5 linked regions of the Danio rerio genome follow. The protein of the gene in region 1 interacts with the protein of each later gene in a pairwise test. Links are inferred from orthologs where the notes say so. Each region holds a gene or a part of one and is shown in the gene's direction. Other genes may lie near its edges.

Region 1 (6,042 bases):
CCCACATACAAACAAACGCACACACCTATCCAAAATACGTTCTGCAAGCGAACGTAACACTGATTCTAAATAGGGAAATATATTAGCAGCCAACAACTATCAAAGTACAACATTGTTGGCAGTCGATTAAACCATATTTATGAAATAAAGTCATACTTTCATTAGGGTTGTGCAATGTCGACCAGTTTGGCATCGTATGGTGTCTAATGTGATACAATGCGGTGGACGATGGCATTGTTGTCGTAGGCGGCGGTGAATTAGTTATTTGTGAATAATTATATTATTCATAATTAATTAATTATTTGTTGCCTACCGTTTCAACTACCTGGGGTCCGTTCTTCGTACGTGGATTACTCAGTTAGCTGGATTTGGATATTGACGATTTGACACGATCCAGGATCGTTTCGTTCTTCAAAGCTGATCCGAGAGTTGTTGTCATAGCAACAGTTCTGCTAGGTCAAACCTGATCGGGAGCAGGTTCAATTCATATAAACAGGATTAGATCGGCTCAGTTCAAGCAAAGATAATACAGAAAGTATGTTCCGAATTCTAATATTTTCTTACAGTAGTAGTTATATACACTTGGGAAAATGGTACATATTTTTTTAACTATATATATATATATATATATATATATATATATATATATATATATATATATATATATATATATATATATATATATATAAAGTTATAGTCATTAATAAAATAAATAAAGTTATACATATTAATAAAACTTATGCAATCTGCACCATCGAAATGAAAGTACAGACTGTCACCTTGTGGTGCAAAGAGAAAACTTATTGATATGAACTTTTTAGATCGCTTTAGTACAAATTGTGTATAATAGAAATGCAGAATATGTGACTTATTTTAAAGCAATAATACATTTATGCTGTCATAAACATTTTTTGATAGTTAATAGTGATTTGAAGCTTCACAAAAGTTGCAGACGCCTTTACCAATATCAAAATGCTTTTGTAAACAACCAGTTATTCTTTACGCCGATTAAAAAACGGCTACAATAATATAGACAATATTTTCTAAATTTAGAACTAAATACACTGATATGCACTGAAATACATGATGAATACTCTTGACACAAGAAAGTGTAAAGCCTGCAGCTCACAACAAATGTGGAAGGTTATTGCGTGTCATATTTAACAAACCGTTTCTGCTAATTTGACGTAATTTTGCTCACATGGATAATTGAATATTAATCAGATGATGTCATTACGCAGCTGTGCCGTCAGCCAATCGTTGCATTGCTGATCATGATTTCGAGGATCGATAGATCTGTCCTTCACAACACAAGCAGCGATCTCAGATCAGTTTATCCAGACATTCTAATCTGATTCGCGAACTTGTTTGAAGAACCAAATTAGCGAGAGATCAGTTATCAAGATTAAAAGATCCCGGATCTGTCAAATCATCTTAGATCATTTAAGCGAGGTACGAAGAACGGACCCCTGACCTGCATGGTCTTTGTTTTACCCATAACCAAATCATAAATAAATAAAGGTAATGTACACGCAAATTACCAACTGTCAATCGCTTTTTCCGTGGGACTCTGGCATGAATAGGCGTATAATCTTTATAATGGCGTCGACAAACTTGGTTGGTAAAAAGGTGCACAACCAACAGTAGCTAAAACTACTAAGTACAAGCGTGAAAGCAAAAGATTAAAGGAGTGTACTGATGCCGTGACACATTACCTGATGGATTCAAAACACAGAAGAGTCGTTAGATAGGGACAAGCTGAATTAAATATCACGTTTAACAACTAAAGTGAGACGCGATCCAGCGGTACATCCTTGATAAACTGTCCAACGTGCACTGCTCTTTAGGGTTTTGTGCTCAAAGCTTGATGAGCATTTTCAGCGGTATAGTGTGGTAGGAGAGCTTTTTAGAAATGCTAGCTGAAACGCCAATATGGATGTGGATAGTTTTCATTATAAAATGGCATTTTAAAACTAGGACGTATTAGTGTAAACGGGGCTGTGTCGGTCATCGGCGATGGACAATGGCATCGTCTATCTATTCAAATGTCTGAGTATTCAAAGTAGTGTGGTAAACAATATATTAGGAATCGTGTCATGTTCTCACTCTTTAAAAATGTACAAATGTGCGAAATGTAAAACCTTACCCTCAATAAAATCCTTGGTCTATTCTACGCAAGCTATGATGACTTTCACCTTGATATTTTAGCACGGATGTATGCCTGTATCTGCTGGCAGCAGCATGTCTGTGATGTACGTCATCACACAAGTGACATGATCACGGTCTTCACGGCTGAGCTCTAAAAGTCATTCAGTGAAAAATGATACAATGTATAAGATCTTAAATATAAAAAAAAATATATATATATATGCAAATTCTTTATAGAAATACTGGAAATGGGTTTAAAAATCATATCACTGTTATTAAAAAAAAAAAATCTATCGCGATATATATTGATATCAAATTATTGTCCAGCCCTACCTTTACCTTCAGCAGAATTCAAGTAGGCCATTTTAATCTAAATGAATTCCGAGATTAATCTAGATTAAAAAAAGTTTAAAACAATTGTCATTTTGTTTCTTCAGCACGGCGATTGGCATTCGCTGCAAAGATGGAGTGGTGTTTGGTGTAGAGAAGTTGGTACTGTCCAAGCTGTATGAGGAAGGCTCCAATAAGCGCATTTTCAATATTGATCGGCACGTTGGAATGGTAAGAACATCGAACAAGTTGTTTCTTTCTCCGTTCAGTACAATTGTAAAATTTAACAGTCTACTTTGGATGCATCTAAGGTTTTATATAGATCATTTTATTATTACTCCCTTATTTTTTGTATTATTTAATGAGCCAACACGGGTCTTCTGTAGTGTCTTTCTTTCAAAAACCTTCTCAAACTTTTAATAGCATTTTTTTTAATCAGATCTTGAATAATAATTTTGATCTTTTTGCATTTTACACTTCCATTATTAATTTTTGAAGGGTGTGTGTTGGTTGTAGGGCTGCACGATATTGAAAAAAAAACATACTTATTACATTTATATTGCAATTTTTCTCAATATAACTTAAACATTTGATCGGGGTGATTTTGTAGGGGAGTGCATGAAACAATCAATAAATTATAAGCAGAGATAAATAGAGCAAATACAGAAATAAAGCAGTCAAAGGTGTACAGATACAGACATACAAAAATCAAATGTACAATAAAGCTGTATAAAACCATAAATTGTGCGGCTGTGGTGTCAAGAGCTGTATTCATTACTACCGTGTTACTGTTATTATTTTAAATGGATTGATTTTGCCATAAAAATAGATGTTGATATGTCAAGATGGAATAACCAATAATGGAATAACTTTTTTTTTCTGTTTTAATATTTAAAAAGTGTAGTTATTTTTTAATTTTTATAAGTTACATTTTATAAGCATTATTAATTGTCTTCAATCAAATAATTCTTCTGTTACATTCTAATATCCTTATTAGCTGCTCAAGAAATATTTCACATCATTATGCATAGTATTGTTTTCACAAATTTTTATTTAATAGATTTAATTTATTTAATGCATATTTTATTTTATGGAATTCAAAAGAACAGCAAAAGCTTTCAAAAAAGTTTTGTAACATGCATTATTACTTAATAAAAAATTCTTTATAAAAAAGCCAGCATTTGAACTGTAGTGTAAAACTACATATATTAATTTCTGTCTATGTGTGTTGTAGGCTGTGGCTGGTCTTCTAGCAGATGCACGATCTCTCTCAGAAGTGGCCAGAGAAGAGGCTTCAAGCTTTCGCTCCAACTATGGCCATGACATCCCACTGAAGGTAAGAGAGATTAAAGCAATAGATAACCCCACAAAACGGTTCACCATCTAGTTACTGTTAAACATTTCTAAAAAAAACCTCAGTCATCACCAGTAGTCCATATGAATGAATGAATAAATTAATTAATTAATAATAAAAAAACATATTCAATTGAGTTTATCTTTAATTTTTAAACACTTTTTACAATTCAAATTGTGTCAAAGCAGCTTAACGTGGATGAAGAAAAGAGAGCAAAGGACATATTATTTCAGACTGTGAAAGATTCTAGAATGTTGGTGTTGTTTTAGTTGAATTGAAACAGTTTCAATTCAGTTTAGTATAAATGTCACTGTTGAAGTTCAGATCAGTGCAAATGCCAGAGGGGACAGTAGCAAGAAACCAAAGTTCACCAATGGGTGGATGTGAAGAAAATCAAAACCTCAGGAGAAATCAGGCTCAGTTGGTCATGGATAGGGGCCTGTACCATAAAGCTGAGTTAGCCAGTTAAATTTCAGTTTGGTTTGCACCAATTTTGGTATTAAGGAAACATAAAGGCAGCTTGACTTTATCTAGTCTTTGTTGTCATGGTATTATGGAGCTGTTGAGCTGCCTTCATGGTACCTAAAACCCAAGATTTGCACAAACTAATGACCTGTTTCTACTGAGTGGTACAGTACGGGTCACAGTTAATAGGCTTGCATTTCCACTGCCAAAAGGGTAGCAAAAGCACTTCTCACAAAACAGATGCTTTATAGACATAAATACTTGTGTATAAATGTTCATTACTAACCTTTCTATGAACATGATACGATTATAACTGCAGATCAATAATAGGGTGAAATACTGTAACGTCTGCAATTATATAAAATAAATAAATACAACATGTATATGAACGCATACAGACCCTTACAGTCTCAGATATGTGACCAATTACAGAAAAACTACACACAGCAGACATTTAGTCCTTAATTGGGTAAAAAAAAAAAAAACACGCAACATGTAGCCCAGAGTCAGTGCAAACCTCTCGTCTGCATCTTTATTCTTCCCCAGCACATGTAACGTCTGTTACAGATTAATTCCATCATTCCGAGTTCATAATAGTCCAAAAGGTGATGATAATAGTTAAACATGGCAGTGTTCATCTTTTAGGTCGCTGAAAATGATCATTCGCTCCTTTATTTTTTCCGGCTTCTCCTTTGTTTTTTCGCACATCAGTCTCGCATTTGCCAGTTTCTGAAAGGATCGGATGTCTGAAGCACTTCAATAATCATGCGCACGTTATTATCATCAGCTCAAGAAGTTTGCTATTTCAAATATAGATGCGCAGCTCGTGCTTTAGACGGCCTTGTAAACAACTATGGTGGACAGGGTCGATTCTGCTCTTCCTCTTGGCTTTGTGGTTGTTCATAAAGACAATAGCCCCTTTCACACAGTGATACCGGTAAATATCCGGAAAATTTCCGGAACGACTTTACCGGTATATTCAAAAAAGCGCTGTTCACACAGACGAGGACATTACGGAAATTTTCCGGAAAAGAGCATTCACACATCCATTCCAAAATACCGGTAAATTCTGACATCATTCACCACAAGTGAGCTTTAAACGGCTGCGCTTGTATTTGTAAACATTTGACTAAATTACATACTCTGTGGATGATCAATATTGTGAACAACTTTCACAGGATCACTTTCGCATGTCGAGATGTTCATAATATCTGCGTGTGCAGGCTCTCATATGCGCACGCAAAGCTTGAAGGTAAACAAACAACGGCTTATCATAAGCATCTCATCGATGATTATTTACACAGTTGGCATTAAGAAGACCATACAAACGTAATCTGACTAACTTCTAGCAGCTAAATGTGTCTGGAAAAATATTCAAAGGCTTTTATCCTCACAAACCGCGCGGACGTAAATGCGTCTGACTGTTGTGATTGGCTAAAGCAGACGTCTCACGTCAGCACGTTCTAGACGTGCACGCGCTTATTACGGGAATCTTCCTTCTGCATTCACACAGCGCAGCATTCCGGCAAATTGCCGGTAATGTTACAACTTCTCTTTCCGGAAAATAGCCAGAACGAATTTTCCGGTATTTTCAAAAAGGACCTGTTCACACATACAACCGTTCCGGAAAATTGCCGGCAATTTTCCGGAAAGGTCTGTATGTGTGAAAGGGGCTATAGACAAGGTTTGTTTGAGCGAGGGTCGACCATGGCTTGTTCTTATATGTATATATTATTAAGGTGTAA
Region 2 (6,681 bases), on another chromosome or scaffold:
TAGAAAGCGTACTTTAACAACTGCAATTAAGAGGGCACCTATGGTGCAAAATCAACATTTGGATGCTGTTTGGGCATAACTCTGTGTAGGTATAGTGTGTTCACGTTCACATCAGAGTGATATAAATGCAACAAGATATTTTTTTTTCTGACTTTAAAATAGGAACGTGACATAGGAATGTGGTTTTACCAAACCACCGAATTGACTGACAGTAGCACATTAACATGTCTCCATAGTAGTGCTTATAAACATGTTCACAGAACAGGATTTGCAGAGAAACTGTGATTAAAAGATCTGTTTCAACTCTGTGATCAACTGCACCTCAAGAATGAGTTTAACAAGTTTAAAACATTTTCAAAACAGTGCATGTTTAAAATAAAGAACAGAAAGGAAAACGTAATTCATATCTACTAGATTCACAATAGCTGCACGATGACAGTACAACTATATATAAGGGTGCTTTAAACACAACAGGAGTTCTGGTTTGTGGATGTTAAATCTGATTTATCATGTACAGTAATGGCTAACTTACATTTGCTGCCCATGCAAAAACAGTTAAATGTGCATGTATGTGTGTGTACTGCAAACTGAATCAGAATTTGTGTGTGACTCATCAAATGACCAAATATCTCTGTTTCTGTGACTGACTGCTGATAACCTGATGTGATGCAGCAGGAGTTGCAGACATGCGGGAACGGTGCAAAAAGAACCTGCTGATATGTGCAATATGCAGTAGTAGCCTAAGTATTGCAAACTACAGTTAAAGTCAGAAATTCCCTAAATATTTCCCAAATGATGTTTAACAGAGCAAAGAAATTTTCACAGTAGGTCTGATAGCATTTCTTTCTTCTGTAAAAAGTCTTATTTGTTTTATTTTGGCTAGAATAAAAACAGTTTTAGGGTTTAGTAATTAAAACCATAAGGTCAAAAGTATTAGCCCCTTTAAGCTATATTTTTTTCTAGTCTACAGATCAAACCATCATTATAAAATAACTTTCCTAATTACCCTAACCTGTCTAGTTAACCTAATTAACCTAGTTAAGCCTTTAGAAGTGTCCTGAAAATATTTAGTCAAATAATATTTACTGCCATCATGGCAAAGATAAAATAAATCAGTTATTAGAAATGAATTATTAAAACTATTATGTTTAGAAATCTGCTGAAAGAATCTTCTCTATATTAAACAAATTGGGGGAAAAATAACCAGGGGGTCTTTTAATTCAGGGGGTTTAATAAATACTTCAACTGTACATATTTGTCTTAATATTTTGTTTAAAATTTATTTATGAAGTAAATAAATTTCAGTTCTTGTTGTTTGAGTTTCCCAAAACCTTTTTTGAGTCCTTTGCCACCAAATATATACATTTCGAATAAATATTTTTTTAAGACTCACAAATAAAAAAGCTTTTGTTGCATTCAAAATAGTTTATCCAGCTGACATTTTCTTAGTCATTTTTCTTAAAAAAAAATTTTACAGTATAACAATTAATTATAAATTATTCCAATCTTTATATAAAGCTGTGCGGCACTGCAAAGCACTGTGGGTTTGTAGTAGTGGATTGGTTTGTGCTGGAAGGAGACCTCAAGCTGCAGCAACCTGATTCATCCTGTGGAGATCCAGTGGGGAAGAAGGAAGTGGACAAAATTAAGGTGGAGGACAAGAAGGAAGAAAGAGGAGGACGAGATGGAGGATACAATAATTGAGAAGGAGTAGGTGGAAGATAAGATTAAGAAGGAGAAGAAGATTAAAAAGAAAATGAATGGAGGGAAAGGGAGAAGAAAAAAGGGGGAAGATAGAGAAGGCAATGATAGAAAAGGAGGAGGTGGATGACAAGATTAAGTAGGAGGAGAAGATTAAAGAGAAGAATGATTGAAGGAGAGGGTGAAGGAAAAAGATGAAGAGAAGATGGAGGAGAATGATGGAGAAGGAGGAAGTGGATGGCGATTAACGAGGAGAAGATTAAAGACAAGAATGATTGAAGGACAGAAAAGGAAAAAAGAAGAGACGATGGATAAGGAGGAGGTGGATGACAAGATTAAGGAGGAGGAGAAGTTTAAATAGAAAAAGGATTGAAGGAAAGGGAGAAGGAAAAAAGAGGAAGAGGAGATGGAGAAGGATGGAACACAATGAGAAAACAATAAAAATATATTTATTCAACAATGTACTTTATTGTGTCTGGTGTTGTGATTATTTCCTCTTTATGTATAATTTAAGTGCTAAAAAATACACACATGCTGCAAAGCTGAAGTATTCGTCATCATACCTTTATTTAATTTTCATGCTTATAGTTGTGTTTGTTTAATTATCACCTACCTTTGAAATAAAATCTTTCCTAAACAAGTTTCAAATTAAAATGTAACATTTTATCTGTAACAATAAACCTAAAAAATTAGTTTGTATGTTTTTGGTCAATTTTTGTCATTAAAGGTAAAACAGAGATATTTTAACAATTTAACAACAACAGTGTAAAAAGCAGTTTAAAACGACATTTATTTATTTATTTATTTATTTATTTATTATACATTTTTTTATGTAGCAAGCTTGCTTGGGCGCGGGACTGATGCGCGTGCACGCCGAGCCAAAGTGTCAACATACGATTGTGGCGCGAAATTTCTTTCAGCTTCTTCTCAGGAATAAACGACAGGTAAAATGTAATTTCTGTTCTAAAAAAAATTAAAAATAATTAATTAACAACGTTATGACAAGGAACAAGACACATTTTTTTATCACAGCGCTTCAACAAAACGTACATGTAAATTAGCCGGTTTAGCCGCAAGTTTTAAATGATTTATGGTAAACTTGTTACCAAATTACGTGGTTAATAGCATGCCAAATCACAGGTATTTTATTATAACTTAAACGTTCTTTTTGTCTCATTCAAAGTATGAAAGTTTTGGAGGAACAAACTTTGGAAGAGGAGTCGGGATACCAAGATGATGAGGTGATTTACATTCATTTTCAGGCAGCCACAGCCCATTCAATCGTGCAAAAACATGCTTTTTTATTTAACCGTGTTAGGTCTTGTGTTTATAAAAAATATAACATCATAATGGTGCATAAAGCAAAACACTCATGTCAAAACCATAAAATACAACTGTACAGTAAAGTGGTGTACAGTTCTAACACAGCCTAAACATTAAATGGAATAGTCGTTATTAATACATATTAGAGGTATCTCTTTTTTTACTTCATAATTCAGAAAAAGACTGTAACCAGTAACAACAATAAAGTATTGTAGAATAAAATACTGTTTATAATCAGGCTAATTATGAGCACATCGATCTGTTAAAACCTTCAGATTAAAGATATGAATAAAACTAAAGTTGGTTAAAATGAATGCTGCTAAAGTGGAGATTTATGGCACAGTACAGAAGAGGAAAACTCATTTTGATTGACAATATTGAAATTGAAATCCACTGCCCAATGAAAAAAAAATGTGTGATAAAAGAAACACTCACATTGTATTTTGGCTGTTATCTTTACATAAGACTGATAAACACTTTATGAAAACCCCAAATTCTCAAAACTGACAAGCACATGATTTTTTAACCTACAGTTTCTCAACTTAAATCTGAAAATCCCCACTTGTTTTTTATTTATTTGTTGTTTCTATGTAATGTGATGAACATTTGCTATCAAATCTCTTCCAGGAATCCTTTTTTCAAGACATTGAGCTCTTGCAGAAGCATGGCATTGTAAGTAAAATGTTGTTATTATGAAGTTATGAAATGATCATGAAAGTGGTTCTCACCCATAATGATCTTTCTGAAGAACGTGGCCGACATAAAGAAACTGAAGTCTGTAGGGATTTGTACGGTGAAAGGCATCCAGATGACCACACGCCGTGCTCTCTGTAACATAAAGGGACTTTCTGAAGCTAAAGTGGACAAAATTAAAGAAGCCGCTGGAAAGTTGCTGGTAATTTGATGTGTTGGTTGACATGATTTATATATTTTTTGCTGTATTTTGTAACTACTCATCGATCAAGGAGGTTGTAAATGTAATATGTTCTGTTCATTCATGCAGACATGCGGATTCCAGACAGCATCTGAATACTGCATCAAGAGAAAGCAAGTGTTTCACATCACAACTGGCAGTTTGGAGTTTGAGTAAGAAGCTTTATAGGTCTTACATTTTTAGACACCAAATTTTATTTGTGGCTAGAATTTGTTTTTGTGTGGTGAACTGAACAATTTAAGTATAATCTACAAAACTGGCAAGGTAAATAAACTGAAATATGTAAGTTTTGGAGGACTCATTTACTCCAATAAACTGAGGCAAAGAGTTTACTTTATTCATTTAGTTCAGTCAACTTATTAAGGTTTTCAGTGTACAAGCAGTAACATGTTGTTTTATATATGTTTTCCGATGAAAGTCTTACATTGTTGACATGAAAGGAGAAACGGTTTATTCATATTTACTTTAGCAAACTCCTTGGAGGAGGTGTGGAGAGTATGGCCATCACCGAGGCTTTTGGTGGTAGGGTGATGTTTTGATTTGAAACCATAATGATATGTTAGGCATTTTCCGTACATCACTTCTGCCAAAATGATATGTTTTTGTCTTTGTGAATTGTTTCCCATGCCTCATTTAGAATTCAGAACTGGAAAGACTCAGCTCTCACATACTCTGTGTGGTAAGAATGAATCTTGTGTAAATGTTAAATGCGGAATTTAATTCTCATTTTTAGACCATTCACATCATTTTGTTTTCTTTTTTCCCTTCAGTTACTGCTCAGCTTCCTGGGGAATTTGGGTACACAGGAGGAAAGGTCATCTTCATTGATACCGAAAACACCTTGTATCATTTGTGCATTTGCTTGCTGTGTGTGAGTGATTCATTTTACTAAATCCATTTCATATGGAGAAGTCATTCTGAACTTTTTACCTTAATAATTGTGAACATCAGTCGGCCTGAGAGGCTGAAGGACATCGCTGACAGATTCAATGTGGATCATGAAGCTGTTCTGGACAATGTGCTTTATGCACGTGCGTATACCAGTAAGAATAGCTGCTACTTCTTTGTTTAGTTTTTGTGTGTCATTTTACTTGAGAATCTATTTGGCTAGACAAAGAGGAGCCACAAAATGTGTGTTGTGTGTTTTGTTACAAATCTGTCTCTATTTTTAATTTTTGAGGTGAGCATCAGATGGAACTGCTAGATTTTGTTGCAGCCAAGTTTCATGAAGAAGGTGGTGTCTTCAAGCTTTTGGTGAGTCTGGTAAGAGATGGAAGAATGTGTAAATCTTCTGAGGTAACTTTTTAGGTAGAGCTTTTACTTAAAGTTTATTAAACATTTATTATAGTTAAGTGTAAAAAAGCTAAAAGAGCTGTTTTTGGATTAATGAAACTGATTGTATTTTTAAAATTGTTAGTTGGTACACATAAATTGCTCACCTGGAATATAGATTCCTGAAAATTCCATTTAACACACAAATTATTGAGAAGTTTCATGAATGGCAGCTATTGTTCGTTTGTAAAAAAATAATTCAAGCTGGTCAATTATTACAGTTTTACCTCTTGCAAAACTTAAACAAATTTGTCACAAATAGTAGTTTATAGCATTTATGGTAATGAGAATTTACTTTTCTATGTAAGCTGTTGACCAGTCACAGCAGAGTGCACTTTCTGGCAAATCAGAGCAGATAACACAGTGTTTAGAGACTGAATCCTTTAATAAATTGTTGTGGACTGTGAGAAAAAAGGTGATGCTGCATGTATAATTGAAGGTGAAATTATTAAATTATTAGTCCTGTAAAATACATACACACATACACACACACACACACACACACTCACCGGCCACTTAAAACCTTACTAGTACCAGGTTGGACCCCCTTTTGCCCTCAGAATTGCCTTGATCTTTTGTGGTATAGATTCAACATGATACTGGAAATATTCCTCAGACTATATACAAATAAATACTCAGACCAGCCCATCTGGCACTAACATCCATGCTACATTCAGTCACTAAAAGTACCCTTCTTCCCCATTCTGATGCTCTGTTTGAACTGCAGCAGATCGTCTTGACCATGCCTACATGCTTAAATGCATTGAGTTGCTGACAGGTGATTGGCTGATTAGAAATTTGCATTAATGAGCAGTTGGGAGGTGTACCTAATATATATATATTATAATATGGGGCGACGCGGTGGAGCAGTGGGTAGTGCTGTCGCCTCACAGCAAGAAAGTTGCTGGTTTGAGCCTCAGCTGAGTCAGTTGGCATTTCTGTGTAGAGTTTGCATGTTCTCCCCGTGTTTACGTGGGGTTTCTTCTGGGTGCTTTGGTTTCCCCCACAGTCCAAAGTCATGCACTATAGGTGAATTGGGTAAGCTAAGATTGGCCGTAGTGTATAAGTGTAAATGAGTGTGTGTGTTGGTGTTTCCCAGTAATAAGTTGCAGCTAGAAGGACATCTGCTGCGTAAAACATATGCTGGATAATCTGGCGGTTCATTCCGCTGTGGCGACTCCAGATTAATAAAGGGACTAAGCCGAAAAGAAAATGAATGAATGACTATATATATTATTTCGATTTTTTCCAATTGAGTACAGACGAAACCACCATGTGGTTTTAAATGGCACTTTAAGCAGAATACTAGCCTCTTGCAAAAAAACTAGTTAAATATTATGTACTGTCATCATCGCGAGGACAAAAAAGTTACTACAAACTAGTTATTAAAA
Region 3 (6,042 bases), on another chromosome or scaffold:
AGCGTGACAATAGAGTGCTCAAGTACTTTTGTGTACTTGTAATATTTTGAGGTGTTTCTATTCATTCTTTGTGACTATAAGACTGTCATCTTTATAAATCACAATAGGTCGCCCTTTAAGAACCTCCATCATTATAGCTTGAAAAGCATTTGGAGAGTTCGAAAATCGAAAATTAATTATACCGCTTATTAACAAATGTAAATGCGAGGTTGCCTCTCAGGCACAAAATCCAAATATTTTTGATAATATTTTTCTTCTGGGGCTGCTCCTGGAGCATCTCTTGCATTAATCGGGTATCTTGTATCTAGTATTGTTGGTTTATTTTGTTACCAACCTCCACCCTCCATCTGGTTTTGCAAACACTTGTATAAGGAATTTTGTTGGTGCATTATCAAGTTCCTCTATTTATCTTTCAGCTTTAATTCCTGTATTTGTTTTCTTTCCCTTTTATTAATAGGGTATTGTCTATAGTGGGGTGGTGCAATGGCACAGTTTGATCACATTCCTATTTATGAAAATTTTTTGCAGTCATTTTCTACTATGTGCTTGATTTATATTTTTTCTCCTAAGTTCTCTCTGACTTTATTAGTGTTGGCTTTAATTGTTTCGGCCATTCTCTTTAGTTCCTCCTCCTGGTTTACTTTTTAATCAATAACCAGCCTATTTCTCTACTTTTTAATATTGTGCTGGCAGCTTTCAGTTTACTAACACCTTTTGTGATCTGTAAACGTTTTCCTTTTCTACATAACCTCTGAAGTCTTTAATATTGAAAGCTGTTTAAGTTTCTTTGGCTTTTTTAGGCAAGTGAATTACCACCAGTTAAAGATTATTCCATCATAATATATTAAGGTTGTTTTACTTGGAGGCAGGCACCCCTAGTCCTCTTGAGATTTGGGTGACTCTGTTACTGTTAACAACGTTCTTGTTGCTTTTAACTGCTTTAGTTTTAGACTCTTTCTTTGAGTTTCTCTTGTCTATGATTTCTAGTCTCTGTTCTGGGGTCAGTTTTGCCCATTCCTCTTTAGAGACAGAGTCATTCTCTCCAGATTTTTGTTTGAAATCCGTTTATTTGTATTTACTTTTATTCTTCCTTGTGACCTGAGGCTTTTGGCTCTGGTGTTTTATATTCAGCTATTAGTCTTTGCAGTTTTTCAGTAATTATCTTTTTTTTTCTTTCTCATCTAATGGCAAAGTTCATTTCCCCCATGATGTTTGCGGCCCTAAAAGTTTTAGTCTGATAATCCAGGCACTAAATCTGTCACCTCTTGAACTTCCCTTATCTGTGCATACACTGAATTCAGTCTCCCGTCTGTCTAAGCAGTATGGGTAAACTCCTATTTATTTTATTGTTTCAGCCCTTTCCGCCCCTCATCTTGAAGGGCTTTACCTAGTATTGTCCCTAGCTGCAGCCTTATCTTCTTCTTGGTATGATCATTGCCTTAATTCGTCATCAGCTTTGTACAGTTCACCTATTCTGATCATTCGTGAGTTTTGTCTGTAACCGATGCCCCTGGGGAGAATGTTGTTTATGTTAACAGGTACGGAGCCCTGTTGCTTAACTCACTGACCCCCTGAGATTATCTTATTTTTGTACTCATCCCCAGCATCACTTATTTACGGACTGAGTGCTCCTCTTCAGCACAGCAGTTAGTTTCAGAGCTTGGCTCACTGGAGACTCATTCGGCAGCGGGGTCTCATGTTTCTTTTTTGCCTTTGTTATCTTCTGCTGTCCTCTTACCTCTGGTGAGCTTTCTCTAGCAAAATAATGTCCTTATTTTCCCTAGTTTTGGGTCTTGTTTGCTTGATGAATCTTCATCCATTAATCCTGGCCAAGTCATTCCACTGATCATCGCTTGTAATCCTTCTGCCAAATCACAGATCATATCTAGTTTGGCCTTCTGATTTATATCAGTTCATTTTTATTTTTCGTCTGCTGTACAAGATGAAGCTAGATATGTCATATCAGCATTCTCTTTGTTTCTGCCCTCCACCTTCTTTAGGTGAACTTTGAACCCAGGTGGGACAGTGGCATCCCCAGAACATCTTAGGATTTGCCAGAAGAGGCCATGCTGAATCTTGGGGTGGCACACACACAAAAAATCAGTGTAATGTTGTATTTATGTTTCTGGTAAATGAAATAATGTGGTTTTAATTCATTTTAATTAATTATTCTTGAAATATTGCAATTTATTTCTTGAAATAATTCAGCAAGTACATGCACAAACCAAATAAAAGTCAATATTTATATATATATAAAACTTTTCAGTTATTTTTTACAGTCTTTTATTGTACAGTATATGCCATGTCTAAAATTAATGAATAATTTAATAAAACAAACAAATGATGAACAAACTGAACAAAAGACATTACTACATACACACACACCCACTATACAGATTAATAATATCATTTATCCATATTCCTTTTTGAGCCACAATATTATTAATACAGCTTCCTCTATTGATGTACCTTAAGTTAAATATGAAATTGCCATTGCTGACTATTGAAGGTGTGTGCGGGCTGTCAATGAAGATCGAGAGGGGGAATAGCAGTGAATCTGCTACGCCAGTGGCACCAATCAATCCACAATAATTTAGTGGCTGCTATTTATTTATTTATTTATTTATCTATTTAAGTACTTTAATAATGTCAACAGCAAAATCATATTGTGTTTACACTGTGGTGGCTGTGGTGGTGCCCCTGAGGTGGGAGACGATTTCTTTGAGTCCCTGTGTAGCATTTTGTGTACAGAGTGGCCTACGAACTCTAAGTGAGTGTTGAAGTTGGCTTCTGCTGATGAAACTACAAACTATCTTCAGCAAACTTTCTTTTTAACTGAATCTCTAACTCCGGTTCTTCTTCATCAGACAGACTTTTCATTTTTGGGTTAAAACTGTTGGTTCCCCTTATAATTCTGAAACTGCACTGCTGGGGTTATCTTACAAGCCATGAAAATAAAAACAAAAAGACAAACGGACTGAAGCCATGACTTGGCGTGTGTGTGTGTGTGTGTGTGTGTGTGTGTGTGTGTGTGTGTGTGTGTGTGTGTATGTGTTCAGGCTGGTGGATCACATGTCAGCAGTAGCAGCAGTGTGATGGAGCAGCATGTGCAGGAGTGTGTGGATCAGGATCTGCTGGAGCGTGTGGATCAGCAGCAGGAGTGTGTGGATCTTCAGCAGGACTGTATGGATCAGCAGCAGCAGCAGCAGGAGTGTGTGTGTGCTGCGGCTCCTCCCCTGCTCTGCTGTGAGGCTGAAGACGGTCTCCTCCCTCTCGCTCTGGAGCGGCTGCTAGACTCCTCCACCTGCAGAAGCCCCTCCGACTGCCTAATGCTGGCGCTACACCTGCTGCTGCTGGAGACCGGCTTCATCCCACAGGTGATATCCACTTCACCTGGGCTATGTTCTTTCTATCCTAAAGGGAAAGTTCACCCAAGAATGAAAATGTCCTCTGTATTTACTCTCTCCTTCTCGCTTCAGGGCGGAGCCGTGAGCTCAGGGGAGATGCCGATTGGCTGGCAGGCCGCAGGGGGTGTGTTTAGAATCCAGTATGTCCACCCTCTGCTGGAGAACAGCCTGGTGTCGGTGGTGGCCGTGCCCATGGTTCAAACTCTGGTCATAAATGGTAATATACACCGTATGTAACACTGATATGTTCAATTTAAGTGTATTTGTAAAGTGTTTTTTACTATTATTATCATTCCAAAGCAGCTTTACAAAGGGTGCACATCATTACATGACAGTCGACATTAGAACAGTGAAGTGACTTAGTTTTTACAGCTAAGATTTCTTTTATTTAATGTTTTTTATCCTGTAAAAATGCTTTTCCTAGATTTTGTTGTCTCGTTTCTAGTCCAGAGATGTCGAAATTCTTAAATCAAGAAGCATTTTCTAGACAAGCCAAAAATATAGTGGTGTTTTCTGAAGTAATGAGTGAAAATTTCTTTAAAACAAGCAGAATAATCTGCCGATGGGGGAATAAAACAATCTTGTTTTTGCTTTTGATCAGCCGTCCTGAAGATGGAGACGAGTTTGGAGAATTCCCGCAAACTGCTGCTCAAACCTGACGAGTATGTGACAGCTGAGTGGACAGGTGAAGCTCACACACACACACACACACACACACACACACACACACACACACACACACACACACACACACACGCATTAATCATCTGTAAAAGCACAGCAGGATTATGGACTGAATGACCTGCCATGTGTGTGTGCAGGCGGCAGCTCAGGTGTGGTCTACAGAGATCTGCGCAGACTCTCTCGCCTGGTCAGAGATCAGCTGGTGTATCCGCTCATGGCCACTGCCAGACAGGGTGAGTGTGTGTTTACTGTTCACACGTGTGTGTCAGAGTGCTTTGTGTGCATGTACTGTTCACACGGGTTTGTCAAAGTGTTTAATAAATGTCTTTGTGCATGTGTGTATAGCTCTGGGTCTGCCTCTGCTCTTCGGTCTGCCTGTTCTTCCTCCTGAGCTGCTGCTGCGTTTGCTGCGTCTGCTGGACGTTCGATCTCTCGTCTCGCTGTCGGCTGTGTGTCGGCACCTGAACACCGCCACCCATGATGCTTCACTCTGGAGACACCTGCTGCACAGAGACTTTAGGGGTAAATGCGCAAATATACACTTTAGGATGCACGATATGTCTGTGGCCATATCAATATCGGCTGACAAATGCTAGTTTTTTTTAAAGGTTTAGTTCATGCAAAAATTGTAATCAATCATTATATACTCTCCCTCGAGTGTTTCCTAACCTTTGACTTTCTTTACTCTGTTGAACACGAAAGAAAATATTTAGGAGAATGCTGAAAACCTGTTACCATTGATTTGTGTAGGAGGATAAACAAATGCTGCGTCCTAATTCGCATACTAAAACAGTATTTAAAAAAATAATTAGTGTATATAGTGAATATTAAAGATCAATAATAATGTTTATTAATATTCTGAATTAACTTATAGTTAATTTGACTAAATAAATATAACAATGATTTTGCCCGCTCGTCTGAGCAGACTGTAATTATTTATTTATTTAGAAAGGGAATTATAAGTATTTGTCAGGGCCGGATTGGCCAATCAGGAGGACCGGGAGAGTTTCCGGTGGGCCGGTCCGTTTTTTGGCCGCGAGGGCTGGTGTTTCTAGCTGCTTGCACTCTCAGCAGTTGCACTTTTTTTTTCATTTATATATTTATTGAACAAAGCCTCACTCTTTTTATTCATTATTTTGCCGCAGCTCCGGTTATTTATTGTCTCACAGCCCCATGAGCAAAATGCAGCCTGCATGTAATGATGATGTAATTATTATTCCGGCTAAATTATTATTATTATTTTTTTTTTTTTTTTTTTTTTTTTTTTCATTTTTATTGTTGAGACATATCAAACTGTACGGTTGTTGAACATTTAAAGTTCTAAAGCAGCTGTTTTCTTGAAAAAGACATGATAGCATAATTAGAAACTGAATTGGAAATGACCTTATATTAATATAGTCAGTCGTGAACTGAGGTGGGCCGGTCTGCTTGAAACTCCAGGGCTGAAAAGGAGTCCCACTCCAGCCCTGCTACATGTGATGTAGATGAATAGTTTAGACGTTTTGGTAAACTGTAAACTTGTTTTAGTAAAGCTTGTAGCAAACGCTCTGTCGTTAAATTGACCTTTTCTGTGAGGCAAAACAAAGACAACATGGTTATAGCCTGATTTATTGACTAGTCTAACATATCAAAACAAACGTACAAAACATAACAACAAAAACATATAAAAGAAGCAAGCGAGCAAATAAAGAGTTTAGATAAAAGAATGGCAAATCTAGTTCAGTTCCACACAACTGTTAAAGACTCCTAAACCCTTCTGCTCCAATGTCTGGGAGAAAATGGGTTTTAACTATGGGTCAAGTCACACCTATTTTCTACTGAGTGACCAGTGGTTTCAGGGCAAGGATTTGAGCGTTTGACCGTTGATATGCATAATGAGGGTCGTCCCTGAGCATACAGCTGGACCTTACCTCTGAGCATTAAAGAATGCAAGCTGTAAAAGTTATTGTCA
Region 4 (6,516 bases), on another chromosome or scaffold:
TGGACCCAACATTCTTACAGAAATCAGTCAAGTTTGGTGAAGGAAAAATCATGGTTTGGGGTTCAGTATGGGGCGTGCGAGAGATCTGCAGAGTGGATGGCAACATCAACAACCTGATGTATCAAGACATTTGTGCTGCCCATTACATTACAAATCACAGGAGAGGGCAAATTCTTCAGCATGATAGTGCTCCTCATGCTTCAGTCTCCACATTAAAGTTTCTAAAAGCAAAGGTCAAGGTGCTCCAGGATTGGCCAGCCCGTTCACCAGACATGAACTTTATTTAGCATGTCTGGGGTAAGATGCATGATCATATTTTAGTTTGGTAAAATTGTCTTTCATTTAAGCCACTTCTGATACCAAATGATCAACTAACTCAAGTTATTATTTGCTGTTCCTAAAACTTGGGTAAGCGACGAGACTTTTTGTCAGGTAGTGTATGTTCAGTCCACTTAAAGTTTTCAAAACTAATAAGTTAGCCTTGTTCCTTCATGTTATACCAAAACAAATTGATTATGTGGAACCCAGCATTTTTTACAGTGAGTATAGTGAAATGTCTCAGCAGCTTCTGGTTCACAAGGATTTTATCATTAGTGATATTACCTGATCATTAGTGATTTATAAATTGCAAGTCAGCAGCAATAATCAATTTAAAAGTCAAAACCCCACATATACAGGCAAAACCAAATTAAGGTCTGTGGATCATGAAGTGAAATGAAACTTTATTAGATTTACAATTACTACATTAAATCTACATCCACATGCAGCAAGTTATTATTCCTCTTGATCTACATTTTATGACTGATCAACACTTAAAATACTTCTTTCACCAGCATGGACAATGCCCCACTTTAAGCTAGACTTTATTGTATAGGGATGAAAGGGATGGTAAGGGAACAGCGGGGAAAAAGGGGATAAACAGTGAACAGGTAGGTAGGTTGATCGGGCGTCCTAAGATGATGCCCAGAGACTTAGAGTGGGGGTAACATCTCTGTAATATTTTTGAGTGATGGGACACCCCTGTTAAACCTAGGAGTGAAGAGAGGGTTATAGGATTGTTAATGGGAAGTGAGGAAATAAAGGGGGTAGAGGGGGTTTGAGAGAATGAGAAGAACAGTGCTCAAGAGCTGGTCTGCCTTAATTAAGTTTTTAGGGAGTAGATGATTGATAATTTTTTGTTTAACAAGGTAACTCCATTTAATGTTCTATAAAAGTTTCCTACACTCAAAAAAAAAATGCTGCTTGTTCAAGCTACTTATTTAAAATGAACTGAAACAACACAATTTTGGAGATTTTTGGTGTAGAAGAACTCATTTGTTTTATGTTCAATCAACTTAAATTAGTTATGTTGATTTAATGCATTTGTGTTTGGCAACATGAATGAATTGTGTGGAACCCTGGATTTTTTAATGTGTGCATATTGGAGCAAATTGACAACTAAGTACGTTTTTGGTGGACTGTGACTTATAAATAAATAAATAAATAAATAAACATATATATATATATATATATATATATATATATATATATATATATATATATATATATATATATATATATATATATATATCGGACATTTAAAACGACAGTGGTGCACGCAATATTATCCTTAATTCAGGGTTGTCCAAACTCAGTCCTGGAGGGCCGGTGTCCTGCTTAGCTCTAACACACCTGCCAGGAAGTTTCTAGTATATTTAGTAAGAGCTTGATTAGCTAATTTAGGTGTGTTTGATTACGGTTGGAGCTGAACTTTCGAGGCCACCGGCCCTCCGAGACCGAGTTTGGACAACACTTCGACGCAACAAAGTAGTAATCTTTCTTGATTTGAACACACTAATTATCTGTTTACAGAGCTGTAATGCACAGTAGCACTTGATATTTATTAATTAAAACATTTTTTCTTCAACATATTCTTCAATTTCACAATCCCAGTTAATATTCTCCAGCTAAATTATCTAGAATGTTTGGAGCTGGAAGAAACACACACCCCCAGTCACAGACGCGCGCAGAATTATTTAGCCGAAATCAAGGACCATGAAAGGAGAAAATAGCACCAGCTAATTTCCCCATCTGTGCCGTTCGTTCAGGTTAAGCGGCAGGCAGCAAAAAGAGCGAGCGGGAGAGGAGGTGGTGGTGGCGAAGGGGGAGTATATGGGGGGTAAAAGACTGTCGCTCATACACTCTTTCTCTCTCCATCCTCCTCCTCCTCTTCCCCGTCGGGCGCGCGCAGATCAGCGGAGCAGTGCGCGCGTCACTTGCGAGCGTCTGTAACGATCCCTCCGACACATCAACTCCAGGAGCCGAAACAAGAGTGAGAGACTCATCGAAGAGTGAGAAATCTGAGAGGAAAAGACATATATCGAGCTGTCGGAGAGTATTTAACCATTTTGATTGTGCTGATTTCTCGTTTCCTTTTTTTTTTTTTTTTTTTTGGTTGGTTGGTTTCTCTTTTTTGGGGGGAAACAAGGATAAGCCTACCTTTTCACAACATGCTGATCGGTAAGTCAGTTCAGATAGTGATGTTATTGTATTTGATATATTGTAATAAACAATGTAAATGTGGTAACGTTTGATTTGCGGTAAAAGGATGCCAAAAGTCATCTGCGCACTGAGCGCCGACACGCGCACAGCTTTTCAGTCGAGGTGCTCACTGGTGTTGCTTAATCGATCCAAAATGAGACCGAAAACAACCTAAACTTTCCAAGTAATGCAAGTCAGACGGTGTAGATTTTTCCAGAAGCCAGAAAAGCCAGAAGTGTATGTGTGTGTGTGATGCGCGTGCGACTGTCATCATCATGCGCGTGCCATCAAACGGCCTTCACCGTGTCAGCCGGTTAACTAGAATGACGTGTGGTCCAGTTAACACCTGTGAAAGCCTTATCCCAAATTTGTAAGTCCACAATGAGAGATAGTTTTAATTTTTTTAAACTCATATCCCCGGGTTAATCAGTAGCAGGTGCCGTGATCCTCAAAACACAAGCCTTTTTTTCCTGCGTTGAATTCTGTATAGTGCAAAAGACCGATACAGAGAGAGAGAGAAAAAGAGAGAGAGAATATGAGAGGATGAGAGATGGTGAAGGGAATGGTGTATTTTTGCTGATCTCTCATTATACGGCCGAGCGCATTGGAATGACATTTAAAAAAAAACTTTCGTGCCCTCTCTCTATCTCTTTCTCTCTCGCTTGCCCGGTTATCACCAGAGAAAGACAGTTGTTTAAATCAGCACAGGAATTCATGATTCCTTAAAGCTGAATGAAAACATGTGCAATTTTATTGTAGGCATTTTATGAACAAAGAAAAATAATAATAATACCCATTTGTGCCCCGCATCTGTTTTAAATCATATCAAAACATTAATCAGCACTTGCTTTTTTTATTCACGCCGAAAAAAAATGTTTTTGTTTTCAACAATAATTTATTTTTTTAAAGTCCCGCTTTTTAAAGGACGTCCAGTCTCTGAGAGCACCTGGTGTTCCTCACAAGAGCTAAAAAGCAGCGGAGCGGAAAATTAAAAATGATAAAGGATTGATCCTGTCCGCGCTGAAAATGCTTTATCAATAACGCAGCTCATTTAATAAAATCGTTTGAATTTTCTCTTTCTTTTTTAGCTCGTGAATTTCGTTAGAAATCGAAGCATTTTGTTTATGCATTTCATAAACTGCGCCTTTGCCGTTTGCGTTGCCCTTGTGTCCTAATTTAATTGATGCTTTGTATATGTGATATTTAAAAATATAGCTTCAATTATTTGTATCACATACGTCATTTTTAGCTTTGCTTCTATTTGTATCAGTGCGTTCCAATTAATCTCTTTATGATGTCACTTTCCTATATATTAACACAGGCTGCATTATAGAACATTTATTCTAATCATAATTTCACATTTTACAAACCATCTGATTTTAGCCTGTTCATAAATATACTCTAGACAATATAAAAGGAAGCAGTGAAGATTTAAGTGTCCTTCTCACCTCCTTGCTATCAACTTCTCTTATTATTAGCTGGATACCAATGCTCTGTCCGCTTAGCAACACAAGACAAAAGGACACACAGATGTTACACATCTACACAAAGTTACACTGAAACCGCAAAGCTGTTTAAATAAAGACGTGCAGAATAAACCCAAGGAAATGGAGGAAAGGACAAAAAGAGAAGGGGAAAATAGAGGATTCTGCAGCATAAAATGGCACCAGCGTTCACTCACAGTTAGTCTCAAAATCTGGACATTTACTCGATCACTAGTAAGTGTGCATGTTTGTATGTTAATAATCCATCAACCTAATGTGAATTACCTGCTAATGTGAACCTGAAAAGCTCAGTTATGAGGACAAAGGTCATGTCCTTGACATTCTTTGGCACAGATTTTACCCAACCAAAAAATAAATTACTTTGAATATCACTAACATGACTGGATTGCAATTTACATCAGTGCATTTGGACACTCTTAAGTGGAGTTTGTGGTCTTTGTTACACATCCAAGTGCGTTGCATAAATCAGCAGCTAATTAAAATCTAAGCTTCTGTCCAGAACATTTCTGGTCTGTAATTATGGAGGGGTCTGAATGTCAGTTTGTTCTGCTCTGTTAGCCGAAGTCACACCGTGATCATTGGGTTATATTTTTCTTTTTGATTTTGGGCTGTGTTTTCTCACCCCCCTCTCACTGGTTTCAGTTGTCGTGGCAGCGCTGCAGACGGTGTGTGCTTGTAAGTGTGGGGAATGCGGTAATGCCATCCTTTAAGCGAATGCTCTTTGCCAGCCGCATTTCACCACAGCACTCTCTAGGAAAAGCTTACTGAAAAACACCCTGCAGACAGACATTTTATTCATCATCATCAGTATTATTATCATTATTGTTATCATAAAACATTTGCAATGAAAAAATGGTAGGAATTTAAAAATAGTCTCTGGTTATGAGGAGAATATGTTAAGTAAACAGTTAATGATACAAATGTTATAACTAATAATTGTGGTGCACCTAAAAGAGATTATTTCTAATGATCATGAAGTGTTGCAATTAGTTGATATTGAATGTGATTTTTTTTTTACAAATATTTTACAACTAAAATAAAGAATTATTTTTATTACAAACAAAAGGTTTAACTCTTTGCAAAATCATTTCTGAATTGATGTGTCTAAAAGTATTTAATATGAAAAACAATGTTAAATTAGCAATTAAATGTTTTAGTAATTACATAATTCATATTATCTATTAATATTATGCAATTAGTTAATATTGAATGTGATAAAAATTATTTTACAACTAATAATAAATATTATTTTTATTGCAAATAAAAAGTTTAATTCTGTTTGCAAATTTATTTTGTAATTGATGTCTAAAAGGGTTAAATGTGAAAAGCAATATAAATAAGCCATTCAATTTATTATTAGTTGCATAATATTATGTATTATTAATATATGTACTATTATGTATTAATTTATGCATATATTCCATTAATAATGCATGTTTATTTTATATTAACTACTTTCACAATATTGTTTTTCTAAAAAATGCATTATCAAAATGTAAGAATTAAAACTTTATATTTGCTGTTTTTATTAAGCATTATTATTATTATTATTATTATTATTATTATTATTATTATTATTATTATTATTATTATTATTATAATAATAATTATTATTATTATTATTATTATTATTTAATAAACCATTACATTTTTTATTAATCATGACTATTGTAGTAATTTGTCCATTATTACTCCTAATATTGAATGTTAAAATTTTGTTTAATATTGAATGTGTTTTTTTAGTCTACAGTGACCTCTATCCAAATATATATTATGTATTTGATTAATACAATTCCTATCATTTTCATATTTCTTATTTCCTAATTAATGTCTGTGAATACCTGAGAATGAGGGAAATTCCTTTTTAAAAAGTTCCCATTAATCTTATTTTTAATTCATTTATCTATCATTGGTGTTTCTGAATATTGGCCTTTTTTAGTTCCTTTGAAAATTAGGATCTAGAGTTTTTTTGGGGTTTTTTTTATTCCTAATTCTTCCTCCCTTCTCCAAAAACCTTGCTGTGCTTGTATCTCAGATATTTACTGCAGATATCCACTGGTTGCATCCATCTTCCATTTTAAAATGCTCCCGTTAATCTTATCTTTAATTCATTAGTGTTTTAATTCATTAGTGTTAATTCCTTTAATTCATTGGTGTATCCAAATAATGCATCAGGAAATCAGGATCTACTTTTTTAGATTTATTCCTTATTCTTCCTCTATTTTCCAAAAATCTTGCTGTGTTTGTATCTCCGATATTTACTGCAGACATTTAGGGGTTGTATCCTTCATCAAAATCCCCAGGTTAAAATTATATTTAGTTTCTTCTTCTTTTTAAAACGGTCACACTAAATCTTACTTTTCATTCATTAAGGTATCAGGTTTTCCAAACAAATGCATCTTTTTTTATTTTTCATTTTCTTTGAAATAGGGTCTAAAGATTTAGGTTTAGGATCTAGATTTAATCCTTATTCTTCCTTCATTTTCCAAAA
Region 5 (6,619 bases), on another chromosome or scaffold:
GGTAAACAGTTGAGCAAGCATCTTTTACACTGTAGATCTGTGGTGTCTGCTTTTTGCTGGCTGTATGTGGGCGGAGTAATACACAAAGGGTAAAGAGGCTGTACAGGTGCTGATATAACTTAAATATATTATGGCTATCAGCCAATCAGATTCGAGAACCTCATAGAACTGTTGTATATATATATATATATATATATATATATATATATATATATATATATATATATATATATATATATATATATATATATATATATATATTAGTGCTGTCAATCGATTAAAAAATTAACTAATTAATCGCACCTTTAAAAAAAAAATGAATCGCGATTAATCACATTTAAAATACTGAAATTTGTAATTTTGGCTATTTTAATGTAAAACTAATATAAACGCAAGACAAAAACTATTTAAATTCAAAATATAATTGTTTATTAGAATTTTGTTTAACTTGTAACACAGATTTCTTCATGTAAACAACAAACCCACAATAAACCATCAAGATCCTGGCTTGACAGCCATATTTATTACAGAAATTAAAACACAGGCATGTTAATGACATTTAAATTTCAAAACAATCAATGCCAATAAAGAAAACATTGATTTCCATGTTGGATTCTAAGTGGACTGCAAAAAATGCCAAAATACAGGAATAGCAGATATAGAAAATGAAAAATTATAATAATAAACTATAGAATACAAACTGTTGCACTCATTGTAAAGTTTTATTGCTGTGAGTTGAGAACATTAGTTATAGAGTAGAAACAATTTTGCTTAATCCTCCTTTACATTCATCCAGTTGCTAAGACTAGGAGTATCCCTCAAGTGCACAGAGACTCCCAAATGCCCACAAATGAAGGATAATCTCCCGCAAACCGGGGTAAAGTCTAGATCGGATATGCGGCTGGCCGGAAGTGCAATGTGCACATTATTAAAGCAGCATTTTTTTTTTGACACTGTATAACAATAATAATATTTTTACAGTGCTGTGAGGGTTGGGTTTAGGGTTGGGGTGGGGGTAGGCGTTAAAAAAATTATTTTATTGGGTAACTTAATAGATAACATAACTAATACTCGGTACAACTACAGTTTTTACATTACTGTGACGGTTGGGTTTAGGGTTGGGGTGGGGGTATACGTTAATAAAATACAACAAATGAGAAATTTAATAAATAATAGAAATAATTTGCGTTAACTTCCGGCCGCAAACGTATCCGCTCTAGCAACAACCGCAAACCGGTCGTTATATACATTGCCCATCCCTCTCCCCCCCATCCCTCCTAGCTCTTCAGCTGTCACGCGCAACTCACCCCCACCTTCCTTCAGGTACGTCTCTCGTGCACACGCCCCTACTCAGATACGCCGCTCACTCCACCCCTGACACCCCTCAACGAGCCTGACACACACACACAGACACACACACAACGCGCTGGAGCGACTCCCTTCAGACTCAACACGCATGATCACGTTCATCAAATTTGCTTAAACTAAGCGTCCTTAAGTATTACTGTATTTCACAAGGATTCTGACACAACATCGCGACGCATACGCTTTCATTGCGTCTAATGAGGAAACACGCAAAACTTGGAGGGCTCATGCTGAAAGGCAGAGTAATGCCCTGTCTTTGACAGCTCGCGACTTCACCAGAGACTTTCTGAGTACATTCACATACGACACCAATACTCCGATTTTAATATGATTAAGATTATACTCTTATGAAAATTCTACCGTGTAGCCTAAGCAGGGCCGGCGCATCCATAGAGGCGACCTAGGCGGCCGCCTAGAGCGGCAGTATAGAGAGGGCGGCATCCGCGACACCTCCCTTACCACCTGCGTCCTCAGTTATGTCCGCGACACCTCCCCCCTCAGATATATTCGCGCATAGACGACAGAATAGAGAAGCCGGCGTAAGCGACACCTCCATCAGCACCTGCATGTCCTCATTTATATCCGCGCATAGGGCGGCAGAATTGAGAGCGCAGTGTCTGCGACACCTCCCTCACTCCCTCCCTCAGCACCCGCGCGTCCTCAGTTATATCTGTGCATAGTGCGCTGGAATAGAGGGCCGCGACACCTCACTTCATTTTCATTACCGGTCACTTTCGTTTTCACATTGGGGTTGAGGGCGGCGTGATCGTCCTCTGCCTAGAGCGGCAGTTCAGCTTGCTCCGGCCCTGAGCCTAAGCAGCGATTTTATTTCCTTAAAGAAACACCGAGTCACGAAATGCGGTGGATTTTCTTTCTGTCGCCAAGTCGAAAGTTAAAAATGAAACACCCGAAATTGCATGAAACTCTGGATAACCTGTGATGCAACTAATTGTTTTATACTGGAACTTGCCTTCAAAAAGTGCTTCCTTGGTCTTATCCACATTTCTTGCATGTTAAACTCACGTCCACCACAACAGGAAGTAAAAAAAAAACCCTGGAACTGCGTTAAAGGCGTAAATTTTTTTAACACGTTAATTATTTAAAATTAATTGCACTAATTTTGACAGCGCTAATATATACACATATTGTTTAGAAAAACTCACTTAATTTTGACTCTTTATTTCTGAAAACAAGGCAATATTTTTTACTTGTCCAGAAAATGCCTCTTGATTTAAGAATTTGTTGATATTTTGAACTAGATAAAACACAAGAAAACAATTTAGTCCACGTCTGTAATTATTTACACACATTTTCATAAGTAAATAAACAGATTTAGAGTTGATTTCAGATTTCTGCACGCGCTCAGATTCCATCTGGGCCTAGTTATGAGTAAAGGTCAAAGGTCATCATCAGAAATCATACGTTCAGTGTCTGATCTGGTCTCTCCAGCGTCAGCTTCAGTGTTTCGAAGAGGAATGGAGATGTGTATCTAGTGTTTCCTTATTTTGGGTCAGGAAAGCACAGGCTTGTTGACTTCCTCTCCCTCCCTTCCTTCCTTCTCTGCGAAGGTACTCATCTGAAAAATGAGAACAAAGTGATTGTTCCTGTTCTCTTTCTTAAGTCACTTCAAATGCGGAGTGTGAAGCTGGAGGCGCGTAGAGAGAGGAGAGACGAGCAGGAGACGACAGGTAAGACACACACACACACACACACACATGCACACTGCAATTACCAATGCACACATGCAAATCTGCATATGATCTGCTCAGAGCATTACATATCACATGCAAAGACAGTTATATGACTTCAAAATGTGAACAGTTCTCATATGAAATTTGAATTCTTTTAAAAAATGTTGTATATAAATATATTTAAAATAAATTGATTGGAGATAAATTTAATTTAATGGTTGTTTGATGGAGAGATTTTGCCAACATATGGATTACTAATTGATTTCTTACTAATTTCTTTTGTTTTCATCATGATGACAGCACAATATTTGACTAGATATTCTTCAAGATTCTAGTATTAAGATTTAAAGAGACATTTAAAGGCTTAACTAGGTTAATTATGTTCATTAGGGTAGTTATTGTGCAACAGTGGTTTGTTCTGCAGACAAGCAAAGTATATATTACTAAAGAGGGTTACAATTATTTCCCTAAAATTATATTAAAATCATCTAACTGCTTTTATTTCAGCCGAACTAAAAGAAAGCACACTTTCTCCAGAGGAAAACACTATATTATAGGAAATATTGTGAACATTTGCTTGGTCTGTTAACCCTTTGACTGCCTCTCTACCAAGCAGCTGAGCGTGTTCTGGCTGTTTTAATTAATTTCAGTAATGGCTGTTTTAAATAATGACACACACAGCATTGTTGGTTTACACACAAAAAAATCAAACAAACATAGTCCTGTTGCACCACTACACTCGATTTTGGTTTTATTGTGAAAGAAGAAGCAAGAAAACATGTTCATTGAGAATCTGAAATATTTTATGGCATACTTTAAGAGGATTTAGTACTCACAAATGTTTTATTTTGAACATTATATCATATTGCACTTTATATTTTATGATTTTTCATATATATTAAGTACTATAAACTGGCATATCTACCATTAGGTAGAGGCTGATATTTTAGAAATTATGGGATGTGCATTGAGTGTGTTAACTACAACATTAGGAGTTAAGAAATGCAATCCAAACATTTTTTTTATTTCAAACATCATTTAAACTGAATAACAATCTTACAGGAGGGCGAATAATTCTGCCTTCAGCTGTTCATGCATCCAAACATTGCTTGGCTTTACATGAAATCTGCATCTTTTATCAATGCAAACATGACGTGATGTGCAAACCGCATAGTGATTTACGAGCATGTGAATTACCTGTTCAATGCTGGTGTTTCTGTCAGATGAGTTAGTTTTCTCTGTTCCAAACTGGAATTTTTTTTATGGCCATAATATATATACAGTGGAGGGCAAAAGGATTTTTCTCAAGCGATATTTACCAGGGCGTCACGGTGGCGCAGTGGGTAGCACAATCGCCTCACAGCAAGAAGGTCGCTGGTTCGAGCCTCGGCTGGGTCAGTTGGTGTTTCTGTGTGGAGTTTGCATGTTCTGCCTGTGTTGGTGTGGGTTTCCTCCGGGTGCTCCGGATTTCACCACATGCGCTATAGGGGAATTGATGAGCTAAATTGGCCATAGTGTATAAGTGTGAATGAGTGTGTATGGGTGTTTCCCAGTGTTGGGTTGCGGCTGGAAGGGCATCCACTGCGTAAAACACATGCTGGATAAGTTGGCGGTTTATGGGACTAAGCCGAAAAGAAAATGAATTAATGATATTAACTGGATTAAGGAAATTTTCGTAGTATTATTTGTTTCGTCTCTTTGGTAAACAGCAGTTTTAAGGACTTTTTAAAGCGCCGTTAATTATAATATCAAGCACCTCTGTAACTCATACCCCAGCATACGCAGTGCCATGAAGGTCCTTACTAGTAATTTAGACTCTTCTTAGTCATTTTTAAACACTGTGCCAATTTAAAGTCATGTTGAAAGAACTTTAATAAAACATGTAGTATTCAATGCGGTTTCTGAAATATTTATCAAATGCGCATTATTTGTTAGTGTTGTTGTACAAGATTTAAATGTATAATGTAACATTTAAATGTTGCCTTACAACAAGAAGGTCGCTGGTTTGATTTCCGGCTGGGTCAGTTGGTGTTTCTGTGTGGAGTTTGCATGTTCTCCCCGTGTTGTTGTGGGTTTCCTCCGGGTGCTCCAGTTTCCCCCACAGTCCAAACACATGCGCTATAGGGGAATTGGGTGAACTAAATTGGCCGTAGTGTGTGTGTGTGTGTGTGAAATAGTGTGTATGGGTGTGTCCCATTGATGGGTTGCAGCTGGAAGGACATTCACTGTGTAAAACATATGCTGGATAAGTTGGTGGTTCATTCTGCAGTGGCAATACCTGATTAGTAAAGTGACTACGCCGAAAAGAAAATAAATGAATGCTAATTAATTAACCTTTAAATGAAATTATTAATGATTAATTTTACTTTTTTTAATTCTGTTTTTGACAGCAGCACAGTATAATTGTTCAAATAACACCAAAAACCTATTTTATTTCAATTGTAATTCTGCCAAATTAAAAAACCTGTGTTTGTTTTTGCGTTTGTTACATGCCTTGAATCCGTACATTTGGAATTCAAGTACATTCAAAAAGTGTGGGGACCCTGATTTTTAAAAAGCATTTTATGGTCAATATTATTAACCCCCTTCAGCAATATTAGTGTTGGATTGTCTCCAGAACAAACCACTGTTATACAATGACTTGCCTAATTACCCTAACTTTACCCTAATTACCCTAGTGAAGCCTTTACATGCCACTTTAAGCTGTATAGAAGTGTCTTGAAGAATATCCAGTCTAACATTATTTGCTGTCATCATGACAAAGAGAAAATAAATCAGTTATTAGAGATGAGTTATTAACACTAGCATGATTAGAAATGTGTCCCTGCGTTAATTAAAAATTAAGTTATTTAAAAAATTAAACAGGATGGCTAATAATTCTTACTTTAACTATATATACATTTTTTGTGTATATTATGGCCAGAAAAAAACTCATCCAGCTCAGAGCAAAGAAAACTAACTCAACAATCAGCTGCTGCTTTACATCTGACAGAAACACCAGCATTCAACAGGTAATTCACATGCTCGTAAATCACTATGCGATTTGCACATCACGTCATGTTTGCATTGATAAAAGATGCAGATTTCATGTAAAGCCAAGCAATATTTGGATGCATGAACAGCTGAAGGCAAAATTATTCACCCTCCTGTGAAATTTTTATTCTTTTCTTTATGTTTAACAGACCCAGGAAACTATACAATACACAGTATTTCCTTTAAAAAAATTTTGATGCTGGGTAAAGTCTCATCTTTTAGAATAGCTGTAATAAAAGCAGGTTATATATATATATATATATATATATATATATATATATATATATATATATATATATATATATATATATATATATATATATATATATATATATATATATATATATATATATTACCCATTTTAAGGTCAATATTATTAGCCCCCTTCAGCAATATTAGTGTTGGATTGTCTCCAGAACAAACCACTGTTATACAATGACTTGCCTAATTACCCAAACTTCACCCTAATTTACCCTAGATAAGCCTTTAAATGTCACTTTAAGCTAAATACTAATTTATCTAGTCTAACA

The links.
Region 2: the proteins of psma3 (region 1) and dmc1 interact in binary tests that used the Homo sapiens proteins (3 or more experiments, as listed by UniProt). The two-hybrid records come from large-scale screens. The link is inferred for Danio rerio from reciprocal best matches to the Homo sapiens genes PSMA3 and DMC1.
Region 3: the proteins of psma3 (region 1) and fbxo7 interact in binary tests that used the Homo sapiens proteins (3 or more experiments, as listed by UniProt). The two-hybrid records come from large-scale screens. The link is inferred for Danio rerio from reciprocal best matches to the Homo sapiens genes PSMA3 and FBXO7.
Region 4: the proteins of psma3 (region 1) and znf385c interact in a two-hybrid assay, tested with the Homo sapiens proteins (2 studies listed by BioGRID). The two-hybrid records come from large-scale screens. The link is inferred for Danio rerio from reciprocal best matches to the Homo sapiens genes PSMA3 and ZNF385C.
Region 5: the proteins of psma3 (region 1) and znf366 interact in binary tests that used the Homo sapiens proteins (3 or more experiments, as listed by UniProt). The link is inferred for Danio rerio from reciprocal best matches to the Homo sapiens genes PSMA3 and ZNF366.

What each region holds. Positions count from the first base shown.
Region 1 is NC_133192.1:12,629,511-12,635,552, reverse strand, and holds part of psma3 (proteasome subunit alpha type-3), read left to right. Parts: intron 1-2,585; coding exon 2,586-2,709; intron 2,710-3,712; coding exon 3,713-3,814; intron 3,815-6,042. UniProt on the Homo sapiens protein: Component of the 20S core proteasome complex involved in the proteolytic degradation of most intracellular proteins. This complex plays numerous essential roles within the cell by associating with different regulatory particles.
Region 2 is NC_133187.1:21,020,004-21,026,684, forward strand, and holds the start of dmc1 (meiotic recombination protein DMC1/LIM15 homolog), read left to right. Parts: upstream 1-2,228; 5' UTR 2,229-2,428; intron 2,429-2,537; 5' UTR 2,538-2,645; intron 2,646-2,884; 5' UTR 2,885-2,885; coding exon 2,886-2,942; intron 2,943-3,651; coding exon 3,652-3,696; intron 3,697-3,772; coding exon 3,773-3,919; intron 3,920-4,027; coding exon 4,028-4,110; intron 4,111-4,427; coding exon 4,428-4,480; intron 4,481-4,595; coding exon 4,596-4,637; intron 4,638-4,728; coding exon 4,729-4,801; intron 4,802-4,909; coding exon 4,910-5,001; intron 5,002-5,138; coding exon 5,139-5,212; intron 5,213-6,681. UniProt on the Homo sapiens protein: Participates in meiotic recombination, specifically in homologous strand assimilation, which is required for the resolution of meiotic double-strand breaks.
Region 3 is NC_133179.1:946,132-952,173, forward strand, and holds part of fbxo7 (F-box only protein 7), read left to right. Parts: intron 1-3,059; coding exon 3,060-3,377; intron 3,378-3,479; coding exon 3,480-3,624; intron 3,625-4,008; coding exon 4,009-4,092; intron 4,093-4,228; coding exon 4,229-4,324; intron 4,325-4,436; coding exon 4,437-4,613; intron 4,614-6,042. UniProt on the Homo sapiens protein: Substrate recognition component of a SCF (SKP1-CUL1-F-box protein) E3 ubiquitin-protein ligase complex which mediates the ubiquitination and subsequent proteasomal degradation of target proteins and plays a role in several biological processes such as cell cycle, cell proliferation, or maintenance of chromosome stability.
Region 4 is NC_133178.1:16,523,991-16,530,506, forward strand, and holds the start of znf385c (zinc finger protein 385C), read left to right. Parts: upstream 1-2,236; 5' UTR 2,237-2,489; coding exon 2,490-2,499; intron 2,500-3,998; exon of another isoform or gene 3,999-4,238; intron 4,239-6,516.
Region 5 is NC_133183.1:1,327,996-1,334,614, reverse strand, and holds the start of znf366 (zinc finger protein 366), read left to right. Parts: upstream 1-3,020; 5' UTR 3,021-3,053; intron 3,054-6,619. UniProt on the Homo sapiens protein: Has transcriptional repression activity. Acts as a corepressor of ESR1; the function seems to involve CTBP1 and histone deacetylases.